Linked DNA regions of Arabidopsis thaliana. The gene in region 2 interacts genetically with the main gene of each other region. Each region holds a gene or a part of one and is shown on either strand. Other genes may lie near its edges.

What was found. A genetic interaction does not mean that the proteins touch.
Region 1: of PHS1 (region 2) and MO1, changing one enhances a phenotype caused by changing the other (phenotypic enhancement), as found in Arabidopsis thaliana (one study listed by BioGRID).

What each region holds. Positions count from the first base shown.
Region 1 is NC_003075.7:8,971,599-8,977,834, forward strand, and holds MO1 (monooxygenase 1), read right to left. Parts: upstream 3,093-6,236; 5' UTR 2,951-3,092; coding exon 2,805-2,950; intron 2,710-2,804; coding exon 2,563-2,709; intron 2,504-2,562; coding exon 2,411-2,503; intron 2,252-2,410; coding exon 2,086-2,251; intron 1,940-2,085; coding exon 1,187-1,939; 3' UTR 1,074-1,186; downstream 1-1,073. Other genes in the region: AT4G15765 (FAD/NAD(P)-binding oxidoreductase family protein), read right to left, coding at 4,185-4,435, 4,535-4,763, 5,017-5,215, 5,375-5,440, 5,543-5,613.
Region 2 is NC_003076.8:7,995,073-8,004,914, reverse strand, and holds PHS1 (dual specificity protein phosphatase family protein), read right to left. Parts: upstream 6,719-9,842; 5' UTR 6,607-6,718; coding exon 6,565-6,606; exon of another isoform or gene 6,410-6,564; coding exon of another isoform or gene 6,395-6,409; coding exon 6,317-6,394; intron 6,227-6,316; coding exon 6,084-6,226; intron 5,949-6,083; coding exon 5,747-5,948; intron 5,675-5,746; coding exon 5,498-5,674; intron 5,394-5,497; coding exon 5,233-5,393; intron 4,751-5,232; coding exon 3,655-4,750; intron 3,510-3,654; coding exon 3,363-3,509; intron 3,246-3,362; coding exon 3,018-3,245; intron 2,919-3,017; coding exon 2,761-2,918; intron 2,679-2,760; coding exon 2,321-2,678; 3' UTR 2,067-2,320; downstream 1-2,066. Other genes in the region: AT5G23710 (DNA binding / DNA-directed RNA polymerase), read left to right, coding at 7,695-8,387; AT5G23700 (coiled-coil protein), read right to left, coding at 8,495-8,631, 8,709-8,838, 8,989-9,164, 9,260-9,320, 9,397-9,509, 9,582-9,698. UniProt on the Arabidopsis thaliana protein: Probable dual specificity phosphatase that binds and dephosphorylates MPK18, modulating the organization and dynamics of cortical microtubules.

The DNA.
Region 1 (6,236 bases), on a different chromosome or scaffold from region 2:
ATGTAGGAAAATGTAGTAAATGTTTTCTTGAGTAAATGGAAACAAAAGAATAAGAAATTTTAGCTGTCAAAAAAAAAAAAGAATAAGAAATTTTAAAAGGTAATCTTTATGAAATACAGTTCATCAAAATGAAATATTAAAAGTTGAGACCAATTTTAGTCTCATTTACAATTTTCATTACTACATGTAAGATACATACCTATATTGGATATAAACAAAAATATGATGACTCATTTGACATGAGGACAAATTTATTTGTTTCAAGGAAATTATCTTATTTAATGGTGTCAAAAAAACGAAAATATCATTTACAAATTAAAGGAGTACATAAAGAAAATTTGTTACAGCTATATAGTGAAATCAATAATGAGAATTAGTTAAATTTAGGGAGTCTTAAAACATAACACGTATCTTCGAGAATCGAGATATTGGTTCCTTGGCTCATTTTATCTCAATAAAATCGTAGTGTCTGTTCGCTTAAATTTACTGAAATATATATCATGTGTAAGTATTAATGTACTTCCAATTAAAATTTATCAGCAATGAGTTGAGATGCTAATATAGGCTCTTTCTCATTTTAGATGTAGGATTCCTAACTAGAATCTCTCAAAAACGAGGTCACCAAACGATTCAATTCCCCTTAGACTAAATTTACTGAAGCGGAGAGACCAAACCAAAATTCAACTTCACTAACATTTTTTTGGGTCATTGAGCGTAGGAGCTCCTAGAGATTCAATGAGTCCATGAGTCAATGAATGAATAGTCTTGATCACTAAAATGCACATCGTGATGATAGCACAATGTCGACCATAATAAATTGAAAAAAACATATACAAAAATGAAACACATAATAAATTACAAATATGTGACTGAGAGTAAAGTAAGAAAAAATTGTCTAATTTCGTTTCTTTAGTTTCGTTTTTGTTTTTTATTTAAACAACTAAGAGGTTTTGGGCCTAGGCACATATATTCGTTAAGACCAGGACCAAAGCATTTTAGTTACGTTTAGTTTTACAATTATTTGTTATCATAGCAATAGTTGATAAATCACATTTGCAATATAATGTATGGTCATGTAAACTCTTGTTATATTGAGAAAGGAGGATGTTATAAGAAAAAGAAACACACAAAAAAAGTTTAAAGCACACAACCTCACACTAAAAAATACAAAATGTCCATCAAATCTCTAGAGACGGCCACAGTCGTACCTAGTATGACGAATTTGATCACGACCAAACAAAAGTAACAACAAAGCTATAAACATTAGCCTCAGAACCTTTGATGACGTTTGTAGCGAACGTCCGGTCAAATAAGTCTGCACCGAAAGCCCGAGTAATCTCATCCTACGTTCATCCACATACTCATCAATAGCTTCTTCAATGTTTTTCATCGAACAATCCTTTAACAAGTCTCCGTGGTCCGGACCAACTTTCCTAGCTAGACACCTAGCTAAAACAACCGCATCCTCTAGCGCCGCTGAGCCGCCCTGTGCCAAGAACGGACCCATCACGTGCATCGCATCGCCGGCTACAGTCACTGTCCCACGACGAAATTTCCCTAACATGATTTCCGATGGCGCTCGGTACCTTAAGTGTGTGAGTGTTAATGACTCCACATTGCATATTTTTACCATTTCTTTCCAATCTTCAGACAAGTCATCGGCCCATTTTCGACACAGATTCGCAATCGATTCTTGATCTTTACCATTGTGATTATTGTCTTGCATATGTACTAGAAACCAAAAGACTTGATTATCCGTCAAAGGAAGCCTTCCTATTAAGACATTTCCTTGCTTTATCCTTAGAACCTCTTGTGGAAATCCATGGCCGTTTGGGTACTTAGTAAACCCTCTCACCGCACGACAAGCAAACGCCTTTTTCGGGTTTAACTGCAAATAATCACTGACGATAGAATTGGCACCATCGCATCCAATCAGGACCTATGAGAGAAGAAAAACATTATATTGCATAATTTATTTTATACTATTGAAAGCATACAAAAATAAATTCTTCAGTAAATGCAAAAGCCAAATGTAATATTTGCCTTTGAACAATTAATGTCTAAATAAACAATACTGATATTTACCTTGGCTTTGATGCTATTTCCATTGGCTAAGTGAACAACCGGAAACAACGTAGTTTTGTCCTGCTCAATAGAAACAATATGAGAACCGAACCGGATGGTTCCTTTCGGAAGGGCATCGGATAAGGCCTCAACAAGATCGTTCCTTTTAATACAACGAGCTTCGTCTCTGTTTTATTCAAAGTATTAAATATTCAAATCAATAACAAAGATTACAACAAATCAATAGAATAAACTGCATTAAAAACTAAATCAAAATACTCAAATTAACTCTATAGTTTTTATATTTATCATCTTCAATTTTAAGGATAGGAAAATTGTGACTTACACTATATTTGAAACGAATTCTCGTTTTTTTCCATTCTCAATCAACATGGTCCGTGCCCTGTTCATATCCAAGAAAGGTCCATAAATCAAAATTCTAAAACAAACATATAATGAATAATAAAGTTATGGTTAAAAAAGAATAATATTACTTACTTGTGAATAAGAGAAGAATTGAGACGAAGGCGATCACCAACGCCAAGCTGATCAAGGGCTCTCCAACCATTGGAGAGAGTTCCGATTCCAGCTCCTTCCGATCTCACTTTCTCTGCTCTCTCCAACACCACACTCTTTATTCCTTTCCTACATTTTAAAAAAAAAATATACACACCAAATATTAATTTACATATGGAATTCATAAAGTTTGAGTCTCATTACAAAATAAATTAATAACAAACCTATGAAGAGCAATGGAAGTGGCGAGACCAGCGATTCCGCCGCCGACGATAACTATTCCGATTTCCTCCATTTCAAAGCTGAGATTTTCAGATCTAAAGTTTTGTTTGGGTAGTTGTTTTAATATCTGTAGTCCTATAGGTAACATGTAGTATAGTGTTTTTAATTTATTTATATAGAGTAGAGGAACAGCGAAGACTTTTCATTAAGACAATTAAATTACTTGGGAGACAATCAATTTACGTGAGTGTGGTGGGTCTTTGCGAGTCAAACAAGCGCTCTTTGTTTATGAAGTAACTTGACCTGTTGACGCAAGCCTATGACGCCACTTACATTAACTCGGCTTTTGGATAAAACAACTAGTTCCATCCAATATCAATTTTGTGTACTTGTTGTAATGAGTGTGACTCAATACTTATCTTTTTGGCTTTTCCTAGTATATCAAAAATCTAAACTGACAAAAAAAAAATCGATCTTCTATACTATTAAACTTTTGATATATATAAGAATAAAGATGGGATCATCAAAAAAAACATCTTCGAATTGAGCCTTTGCAATTCTGGTTTTCTCTAGATAAGTTTTCTATCACCTCCATTGATTCAGCTTCTACATTTTGAGTGGGCTACTGGATAATTTGACATTTCTCTCTACATTTTCTTGGTTCTGTTTATGTTATAATGCAGACTTTAAGTCTTTTATCAACTAGGGTGGGGTTTTTGTAACACAAATGATATGGACTTCTCTTCCTTCATCAAAATATACGAAAAATGTATTTGAATAATTATTGATTATTTTTGGTCCAAAAAACTTGAATCCAGAATTATTAATTGGATTAAAATGTTTTTGAGAATATTTTTTTGCAGATGATACCGCCCATAATTTTCTTAAATAAGTTTTTGATTGGACTTCTTTTGTCTTTCACAACTCACAAGTGAGAAAGACTAATATCATAGTTCTTTTAATAATCGAACAAAAATTATCAGAAGCGAACAAACAGGAAACATTCGCAAGAACAATGAGTAACCAACCTCATGATACAATCATCTCACGAAGCACACAACTCTCGCAATTTAGACAGTTCGTACATAAGATAAATTTATAGACTGCCACAATCATATCGAGTATGACCAATTTGATCACGAAACAGAATCATCAACATAACTACAAGCAATAGCTTCCTAACCGGCGAAGAAGCTGCTATTAAACTACCGGTAAGATAAGTTTGTGTCGAAAGCCCCACGAGTCTACCTCTTCTTTCCCTAATGTACTCATCAATTGCTTCTTCTATTTGCATCCTTGAAGAGAAGGAAGATACATTAATTATACCGTCTTGACCTAAATTTAACTTCCTCCACAAGCATCTAGCCAAAACAACACCGTCCTCAAGCGCAGCCGAACATCCTTGTCCTAAGAATGGGCCCATTAGGTGCATACTGTCTCCGGCCAACTGTCACGGTGCCACGTCGGAATTTTCCAGACAGAACATCCCAAGGAGCACGGTACCTTAAACGGTTGATATACAAAGAGTCCATATCACAATTCTTCACCATCTCTTTCCACTCTTCTGAGAATTCGCGGACTGATGCTAGTGCCAATCTTGCGATATCCTCTTGATTTTTTAAGAAGTTTGAGTCTATTTATAAAACAAATTATAAATACGTTAGTGCGTTATATGAAAACAATAGAAGTCTATGTATAGTATGAAATGTAGCATGACCGGGTTATTAATTACCTTGGGGACAATTTCGCAAAACAACAAACCAAAAGACGAGTTTGTGAGTTATAGGAAGTCGTCCGCTTACGACGTTGTCCATCTTGATTCTTATAAACTCTTGTCGGAATCCATGGTCGTCCGGGTAATTTGTGAACCCTCTGATGGCCCGCGAACCGAGGTCTTTAGTCGGGTTTAATCCTAGAAATCTAGAGACTACAGAATTTGACCCATCGCAGCCAATCAAAACCTAAATTAAAAGAAAAGTATATTATCAAAATATATAAGACCCATGCATTTCATGCTAAACATGTTGCTTTCAGTGAAAAACAAACAAAACACAAACCATTAAAACCGATCACGACCCATAAATGTCACTGTCGGCTAATATAAAGTATATACTAAAAAAATTCCACTACGGCATCACCTCAATAATTGATCAATAAATATATCTACTGTTGTTAAAACGTGCCTTTGCTTTGATAGCTTCTCCCGTTTTTAACGTGCACAATCGGAAACGATTTTGTTTCGTCGAGCTTAACCGACAAAATATGGCAACCAAGCCGGAGAGTGCCAAGAGGAAGAGCATGAGCCAAAGCTCGAACCAAGTCGTTCCTTAGTACACCTCTTACTTCTCCATAGGATGCTGGTCCAACCGATTCTCTTCGTTTAATACCTTTCTCGATCAAAACATCTCTTATCCTGTTTTAGTACCATACCGGAAATCATTATAACTAGATAAGGTTAGTTAAAATATAAATATTTATATACTTACTGATGAATTGGGAGAGACTTAAGACGAAGCTAGCTTATCGGCGACACCAAGTTGTTGAAGAGCAAGCCAGCCGTTAGTCTGAATACCAAAATGCTGCTCCTTCCGATCTTACAGACTCTGATCTCTCCAACACAACGCTCTTTATGCCCTTCCTTTATAATCATATTTGTATGTTTAGTTAGTCAATAGTTCATGTATATGTTTTCTAATTTAAATTACCTTATAATTGAGAAAATGAGGAGATTATAGTGAACCTGTGAAGAGCAAGGGAAGTTGCAAGACCAGCAATGCCTCCTCCCACGATTACTATGTCCAATTCTTCCATTCTTCTATATTTGTATTTCCTCCAAATTTTATGATCGTTATGTCCTGCAATGTCGTGGACTTATATGTGGGGGTTGAAGCCACATGGCAATATGGCATGTCGTGGTTGTACCTTGACCCGCGTATTTTTCGTTATCTATACATATTCATTCACAGCGATTTTTATTGGTATTTGTCGATTCATATATCAATTAAACTGTGTATCACACAGATCGTTATATGAAACCAATTCTGAAGAGAGAAAAAAAAGAAAAGAAAAATTTAAGCCTTCTTGTGTTAGAATTACTAATTTTAATAATTTATTTAATATTTTTACTGTATTAGTGATTAAATGTATAATTTACTTAATCTTAGAAGTATATATATATATTTAAAACAATTATTTTCTTACACGTTATACAATATTTGTAATTAATTGTATTTATTTATATTAGAAATATATATACCTTTTTCTAAAATAATATATTTTTGTTTTGTCAATTGCCCTTATAATATTAGTAATTCATTGTATGATTTCCTTATAATATTTTTACACATGAAAAAATCTCTAACTAAACATCTTTTCAATAAACTACATGAACTATCAAATTTGTTATAACTTTCAGTTATCCTCCAAAGTCCAAA
Region 2 (9,842 bases):
GTAACATTTCGACTACTATCACAATAAATCTTCACTGACCATTAGATTGAGGTTGTTCGTAAATTACAATGATGAGATGATCGTAATGGTAACACCGAAACATTAAAAACCAAAAACAAAACGTCTATTTGTACCACTTACTTTTTCCTACACCAAAACTAACAAAGTAAATAGTTTCTTATCAACGTTTGAATTTTAACTTACTTTGTTGTTGTTTAGTTTTACAATCGTAGTAGGCATTTAGGATTTGATTTGAATTACTTTGTTGTTGTTAGAAAATGTACAACTTTCGACGATGTGATTGAAAAAGACGTAGCATTTTCCTATCTGGTTACTTTCAATTGCTTGATTCACCAAAAAAAATATAAATAAATTATAGCCTTCATGGCTTCAATGCACTTATACAATCTTTTTATTTTACAGAATAGTCAATTTTCTTCTATATCAAATCAACTTTCAAAGCTAGAAAGAGACATATACGCTTAAAATTGCCATATCGTATAGACGAAATCGTTTGATACCAAATACTCCATATGTTCCTAAAAGTTTGATGCTCTAGCTTTTGTTTTTTGTTTCATAAAAATTGATTTTCTAGCATTTTTCTTTATTTTTATTGTCTTATAACACTAAGAAAAATGTTAAAATGATTAAACAATAATTGAGTTCTTAATAAGCGTCAAAATCCAAAACATCAAACTATTATGAATAGAGGGAGTACTAGTTTATCTTGATTTTGTCATTCGGATCAATAGTAGAAATGTTTGGACGGATTCAAAAATTTTCACTTAGATGATCATTTTATATCCGGGATAATAACCACTCACAAATAAGTGGTCAACATGTATAAATATGCCATAACCATTCTCGATAGTTGTCCAATTCCTAATGAAAATCCGAATCATGTAACTTATTTGATTCTCGATATTATATTATTTACGAATGTCGGGTCTAAGAAGCATTTCTATTATATTATTTACAGGTATCAAAAACAGATAACGGTTCTCTATAACCATATAACCAAGAAAAGATAAGCATAGATCACGGGGTTAAAATATCGATATTGATACTACGCGTCCGATAAAGAAGAGCCGGGGCAGATTTTGAGAGAGAGAGAGAGAGGAGAAAAAATCGGTGGTAGGTTTTAGTTTTATGAGAGAATTTTGTGGACAGCAAAGTAAGGACGAGTCATACGTGTGTTATGTACCACCTTTGGTCATTGTCCTCTTTTTCATGTCTCTTCGTTACTTCTCAGCCTCAAGTCTTTTATAACACTTGTGCTCCATGTTTGGACCCACACTGCTTCAAAGAATGGATTCGATTTCCATTTAATGCCATTTATTAATATTTCTCCAAACAACAAAATACGTGAACTACCTAACATATAAAATTTCACCAACTAAAGCGCAATCTTAACGTCCGTTACAAAAGTGGGCTTCTACACTTTTTGAAGAAACAAATTAACTTGTTATTCAAGAAATTGGTAAACAATAAACAAACAAAAATGTAGGAGAGAGGACATCGCTTAAGATATAATATCAGAAATTTTTTTGAAGGAGTTCATTACAAGTTCATTGGTGCTTCTGATGTGCAACTTTCCCATGAAAAAGAAGGCAGAGAATAAAGTGGAGATACAAAAGCAACTTAAAGGATGACTTAAAGGAGAGACTAGTCATTAACAAAGGAATGGATAAATTAATAAGTAGTTGGAAAAAAAGCTAACACCAAGTTGGTCCACAAAGACGATCCACCGTTATCAGATTTCCCACATAGATTTAACATCAAATTAGATTTGCATTTATGTTCCCCAATATTTCAATCAATTTTTACTTTGTCTGCTTTCCATAGCCATTCTTCATACATATACCACCTCATGATTCCTTCATCTTTCTCCGTCGTCTGGCACATCACGCACGTCTTGTACTCCATACAAGTCACAAATGAAAGTTAACAAGAGTTCACTTTCATCAATGTGCACGCCGGAAAGAATGTCAAATTTTTTTAGTTTATTATATCGAAAATGAAAGGGAACTTTTGTTTGATTACGCAATCAATTTTTTAGTTTTATGACATTTTTGGGCCAAATCTTACTTTCTTAACACAAAGCACAAGGGAAAAAGAGTTACAAATGTTACATTAGCTTATTATGACGTTTCCCAGTGACTTCTATTCAGCTTTTCGGCTTTTTATTTACTTGCGTATACAAGTACAAAGATCGTTACAGTAAAAAACAAAACAAAACAGATCAATGTTTTTGTTCAGAGATGTACGATTAGAGAGACTTTAACCGGGACAAACCATAGATAAAACCAAACCGGACTCTCTAACCAGGATGAGATTGGAAAGAATTGGAACTAGCACTTGAGCCACGGCCAGTGCTGAGTTTAAGAGCCTCCAAAGCCTTTTGAATCTCCATGTTCATTGCACTGTCAACACTTCCCGAAGACAGTTTCCTGTGAGATTTCTGGAGATGAAGCTTCAAAGAACTGCTGCTTAGACCTGCGTTCTTTCCACAAACCGGACACACTTTCATTGTCGGTTTCCTCTGTCTCCACTCCATTGATACTTTCCCGTGACATTTCTTGTCGAGGTTTATTAAGATCCGCGCAAATCCATCATTCGGTTGAGCTCGTCTATGAACTTTCCTCAGTTTGCTCCATGCTTCTAAAAGTGTGAGCTTCCTATTTATTGTTCCCACCAGTAAACAAATGAGAACAAGTATTGAAAATTTCCAACAAATTTTATTTGTCCCCAACAACTTACTTTTGGAGCATTAGGTAAGCAAGCACTACTGTTGCGCTTCTACTCCGACCTTCGAAGCAATGAACTAAAATCTTGCCACCAGTTTCTTCGCCATGCTTGATGAAATCGAGAGCTTCTTGAAAGATGCTCTCGATATTTGAGTCTTCATCATCGGTTATCTGGTCAAAGGGAAGACACAAGAAGAAAACGATCATCTTTATAGATGCATTTTTTTTTACCAATTCCTTTTAAGAGACATATAAGACAGGTTCACTTACTGAGAAGTTTTGGTACTCGAAGAGATCCGGGTATTGAGTATCCGATTGCCCGATTTCATTAGCGCACAAACATAGAACATGAGTTATACCTAAATGCTGAAGAGTGTAAATCGACCTTGCAGCCAATCCTCCCCCGATAAAAAGATTTTCTTGTATCATTGATGGTTTCTCTGTATTAGCAGCTTTGCTAATCAATGATATCCTCTCAAGAATATGCTCAAGTCTAACCTGTTATCAAGGAGAATGCAAACAAGAGAGACAATGTTTGAGTTCAGTTGCCAAAAACTATATTATATAATGAAGATCATATTCAGGATAAAAGGAAATAATAAAACTTCATGATACCTTTAGCTCATAAGCATCTGTGCAACTGTTATTATCACTGCCCTCAAAAAAACCAGTGTTGAAACCGTTCTCTTGGCAAAGTTTCATCACTTCATTCCGCAGTGTTTCATTCCACTGGTCTAGTTCTTTATTAGACTCAGCATCAACCTGGACGCACCATGAAAATATTGAGAGTGAAGAAAGAGAAAATGGCTGAGAACTTCCATCCAAGAAGACAAACTTTTTTTTTTATAAAAAATCTGAACCTACTTTACAAATTAGAACATAGTGATCAAAGCTCGAAGCGACAAACCTTTGCAAACTTATGGAAGTCACGGAGCTTTGCTGCCAAACGCTGACTGCTAAGAGATTCTCCACCTTTACCGGATCTTCCGTGCCAACTTTCACGTGACTTAGGCGAAGACCCGTCTTCTTTGTTTTCTGAATTTGGTGTCCTAGGAACTGATTTTTGCATATCTGACTCACTGTGATCAGAGCTGTTATCACTAGGCACCCGATCTTTTGAGGGAGATGGATAATGATTCACCTCATGCCCATGAGTATGTGAAGGTGACTCAGGAACAGCAAAGTCTTCTCTGTCAAAATCTGCACACATTGTTTTGTCCATCATACTAAAAAATGCCCGAAGCAACACATCTAATTTCTGATGAAGGGTGACAAGGAAGATGTGAAACTCTTGCAAATCCCTGAGACCAGCTCGGAAACCATTTCGAAACTCGCGTACAACTGGTGTTACTACAGATCGAACATTAGATGTTTCTTCACCATCTTCTGCCTGTGGATATCCTAAACTTCCTTCTGTTATTTCATGTAACAAATTCGAAGAATATTGGCTACTATTGAGGAGTAACTCAACTAATCTTGGATAAATTTCTTGGTCGCTTGCCCGTTTTCCAGCAGGAGGCCGCCGTGGAACACCCGAGTCTATGGCAACGAGGTGAAAATCGGCAGCTACTGATCTATCAGACATTGGACTCATTAAACCAGTATCATATGATCTAGGTGATTCCGTTATATCAGAAAAATCAGAAGCCTGTGAGACCAACATTTGATCACTGATACTCAACCTGGATCTGCTATCTACGGAAGAAGCTCTTCTTTCCCTTTGAATGGATCTATAGTCCTTTGGATGGTACCGTTTGATGGCGGAATCAAAAGCTTCATCAAATGAACATTCATGATGCTTTGCAGAAGACACAATTCTGTCTGTCAGTAACAGATTTGCCGGGTTGCCACGCCATCTCAGCTGACGACACGGTAATCTGTCTTCATTCCTAATTACTAGATCTAACACCAAGATTCTCCCTAGAGCTGCAGCAGCTCTCTCTGCTTTTTCTTCAGTTTCAAAACTACTCATGCTCTCCAGCATTGGACATCCATGAACATAACTGTAATCACATATAGAGAATCCTGGGCTAAGAAGAGGGGTTCTATACAAACATCACATTAAAAATTGTAAATTTGAAAGTGCCTACATGATCCTATTAGGTAAGACTAGATTTTACATAATCCTATTAGGTAAGACTAGATTTCTGTTCAGCTATTTCTCTCATATTTATTATCATTTAAAGCAAGATTAGATTTCTGTTTAACTGTTGTTATCAAATTTTATCCAATAAAATAATTCCACCTCATATTTGTAATTTAGATCTTTCTTATTTTATAATACAATTTTTATATCTAATAACATAACATCTTTTATTTTTCTTAAAATATATTATCAAATGGTATATTCATATTTCAAATGGTTTACTATCATCTAGTTAAACACTAATGCAAAGGAACAAAAAAACTGTCAACATTATGCTGCTGGTCCAAGTAAAAAATGGAGAAAAGTGATAAAGAATAAAGATGAATCTTGTGCTTTCACCTCATTAAGAGAAGACAACGGCTGAGCTCAAGGGCTTCCAGAAGTTCTGAACATGTCATTTCACCAACCTCGTCCCCCTCCGAAGTCGCTTTAGCTTGTGCTTTTTCAGTGGCTTCTTTGATCAGTGTCCACTCAGGATTACAGCTGTGAATTACTCTAGCCTGTCGCATGATGATTACTCATTACTTGAAAATTCTAGAAAGAAAGTGAAATGAGCAAAACCATTACTACATTTTTAAAAAACTACAAGAAAGAAAAGAAGCACCTGCGGAATCTGCACCCCTAGCCACTTGGAAAACTCATAACCTAGACGTTCTGATTGCGTGGCCATCCTCGATGATGCAAATTTAATAACTGCTGCTTCTTCCTTACGAGAGGCATCTTCAGAGCTGGAACTATTGAACAGGGCAAAGAAAACAACTCCTCCAGAATTCACAGTAACCTGTACAGACATCTAATAGTGTCAAAAGATCCTCCTAGCATCACCAGTCCAAGATCATAATGATATATATACCTCAAGTGGTTTACTCTGGTCTTCTTCAGAATGATCAGTGCTACTACTATGTTCAGTATGATGAAGTGAAGACAACATATTCCATGAAAAACAGCTCGAATCAATATCCACAGTAGAAGCTTTACCAAGCCTTTCCCACAAACTAATCTCTGAACTCTGCCTACTTGGTGGACTTTTAGGATCAGTATTCCTCTCTCCTGCACTGGATAATACTTGTATCAACTGACATGAAGACTAATATCCTAATTTAGAAACCTTTGTTCTGATATACTCATAAGATTCCAAAATCATAATCAACAAACCAAGTACTTGACAAAAAGTCAGAGAAAGTGTTAACCTAGTGACCATATCATCGATGCGGTGAAGGCGGTGAGGGAAGCCAGAGGATCCGTAAGTAGCACTTCGTTTACGAACTAAATCCAACCATTGAGTAAACCTATAAGCTGGACCAGATGCTATATCTCCTAACATGTACAAAACCTGCAAATTCCAAAAGTCTTCCAATTTTTAAGACGAGACTATTAATATAACCCTAAAACCTAAAACGAATTTAGGATCGGAGAAATTTACACGAGAAGTGACGGTGAGAGGAAGAGGAGACTCGTGCTCGTCGTGAACAAGGTATAGATCTTTCTCTTCGTCTTTTTCCTGCGATAGCACCATAATATCAGATCAGAGAAAAAGGGGAAAAAATCAAAATCAAAATCTGGCTCTGCGAAAAGAGGGAGAGATAAATGTGGGGGTAATGATGAACGCAAAAGGTGGGGGTGATAATGATAGATTATTAAATTTGTGGGGGAAAAATGAAGGATGATTACTTGAGAAAATGGTTGATCTCGCTTCTTCTCAGGTTCCGCCATTGCAAAAGCTTAGGTTCTGTTTAATTTTAGAAATGTCTTTTTCTTCAAATGTCAGCTTTGTATCTGAGAAGAGGAAAGTCTCAAGGTATCTTTAATTAATATGAACTTGTCGGACGAAGAAAGAAGACGGATATTTAATTTCATAAATTTATTATTGTAATAAAGACTCTGATCATTTTATTCTCATTATTCAAGATTTAAAAAAATAAACATATTATTATTTACAGAACTGTCTTCTAATTTTATTTTATTTCCGTTTTGTGTTATTATTTAAAACTATATTTTGTATGAAACTATTTCGGTCGAAATCAACAACATTTATACAAAAATGGTTTTAGATTTTAAAAAATATTCACTAAAGTTTATGGTTTAATCTGAAAAAGTTCAGTCTAATAAAATAAAATATTTATAGAATTTTTTTGTCAACTTATTTCTGAAAATTAATAAGCATAAATATTAGTAAAAAATCAAAAATATATACTTTCTTTGTTTTACAATATAAATTGTTTTGGACCAAATTTTTTGTTTTACAATATAAATTATTTTCAAAATTTTATGCAAATTATATATTATTTTAATACTTTATAATTATTTCTATTTTTAAAAAATAAATTGAATTTTTTAAAAATAAATATTTTTAATCTACATGTTTTTATCTAAACCAACTTGTATAGCGAAATCTCATATTGAATTAACAAAAATCCTGAACAATATGTACCAATCCACTTCGAGTTACCTTTTGTTGTGTATTAGTTTAGGCCCACACTAATATATTTGACTTTCTTCTCTGTCTTATATATTTAGCTAAAAGCAGACCTAGGGTTTTCGTATCCGTTCCAGTCACGGACGACTTCTCCGTTCTCTGAACTCTCCTAAAGCCTCTATATTCATCGGATTGTTCATCTCCAGTAAACCAATCTCCAGGTAAATTGAATCTGAATCTTCACCAAAATCCTTTGTAATCTCAGAATCATCGATTTTATCACCTTCTTATAGTATAGATCAATCCTTTTCGTAAATCACACGAATTCTCTCAATTACCGTGTCACAATTCCGATTGATTTTTGCAGTTTGGTGAATTTGTAAGAATGAGTAAACGAAAACGTCCGGATCCGAAATCATCGGGAGGTGATCTAAACGAGCCACACGAGAAGAAGCTTCTGGATCTGATTCGAATAAACCAAGGAAGAGGCGCAACTATGTTCGAATTGAAACGCGAGAAAACGATCCCAGCAACTATAGTTACTCGATTGATCGCTTCTCTACGGAAGAAGAATCTCATCAAAGAAGTAGCAAACATGAACAACAAAGGTGTCAAACATTATCTTGCAATGGAGTTTGAGCCTTGTAGTGAACTTACTGGTGGTGAATGGTACACTGATGGAGCTCTTGACCTGTCGAAAATCGAAGATTTGAAAGCCAAGTGTGTGATGATTTTGGAGAGGCATAGGCAGAGGGTTGTTACTTTGGAGGTTTTGTGTGGGTATTTTGTTAAAGAGGAGAAGCTGAGTGTTGATCAGACTAAGGAGATACTTAAGAACTTGATTTTGGATAATTTGATCATGGAGGTGAAGAGTAATGGAATGAATGAGTTTGCTTCTACGAGAATCGGAGAAGTTTGCTACAGGTTGACCGGGAAAAAGTTCGGTAATGGCGAACCGAGAGCTGGAGCTTTTGCTTCGATTCCTTGCGGGGTTTGTCCGCATATAGCGATCTGTTCACCTGATGGTGTTATCTCTCCCACTACATGTGTTTATTTTCAGAAATGGTTAGACTTTTAGCACTCTCTTTTTTTTTTTTTTTTTGGGTTTAAAACTTAAGATTTTAGATTATGATGATTTGTTTTTTCGGTTATACAATAGAGAATAATGCTATTGATATCTTTAAATTAAGAGTCAAGGTTGTGATTTGAAAGAGTAGATGTCGGAGAAGAAGATGGAAGAAGCTGATCTGTTTCTTTGCGACAAGCTTCCCATAATTGTTGCTCTACTCCTAGTTTCCTTAGCTCTAACAAACCTCGTTCCACTGTAAAGAGAACAAGTTAATGTGTTATTAAAACTAGAATTAGGACACAGGGGAAATCAATTGAAGAAGTTTATTACCGTCAACGGCATCTTGTGAAGTCGGAGATTTTCCTTCACTACGACTGGTCCAAAACTGGAAACGTTCATCTGCAATGTCTTCTTCCACACTATGCAACTTGGCTCTACCCCAGAAGTACATAAGCCATGCCTGCATTTATAACCAAATAACGTCGGTTCATCAAGATTCATCGCGATAAATTTAGTTACCAACCACAATATACCAATAATTACCATCTCTTGTAACAAAATGTCACATTATAACCTTATAGTTATGAAATTATAGGCATAAAGAAACTACCTGCTTAAAGGCAACATCTTCTTGTTCCCCTTCTTTTATCTCTGCATTTGAGAAATGTGATAACATAGTAAGGATTTCATCAAGTTTGACTGCTGATATGATATATTGTGCATGTTTGGACTCTCTTCTCTTACCGTATGATTCTACAAAACTGAGTTCTCCATGCCCTTTGGAATCTGTAAGATATGGAGAAAACAGACTATTGATCTCGATGACTAGTAAAAACAGACTATATTTGACACTGTACTAATTGATGATATAGCATACATACCTTGACGAACCAAACTCGGTGTTCTCTTCTGTGCGAATGCAAGCATAACAGCATCCTCAACCTAAATTTCGTTGTGATATGAGAACTTAATTATGTACTTGAAGATACCTTAAAGTAAAGAAACAATGGTATATTACCTTTAAGGATGCCAGCTCTCTCAAACCCATCTCAACTGAAAGCATACTTTCGATATTTCCTTCTCCAGGTAGATCACTTAAAAATCTAGCAGTTTTGCTCTGATCACTCCCACCTGATCAATTCCAAAGGCTGGTAAGTAAACAGTATCAAGGAAACCTTGGCCATAGCAAATATTAAGACTAGCCTTTGTCCCGAGATAACTCCTTGGTCTTTTGTGCTGCAGATATGACCAGCTCAAATGGAAGAGGAGCCAGAGCCGACCATTTTTCATGCCTGGATGGTGCTATGTCAGCACAAATGCCTACATAGGTAAGCCACAGGAAAACCAAATATCTAAGAATTTTAATAAATAAACTACCTCACCACAACTACAAGCCTTTGACCAAAATTAGAGAGCTGAGTAAGTGTATCAATGAGAACACGTTCACAAGATGGATGCATTACT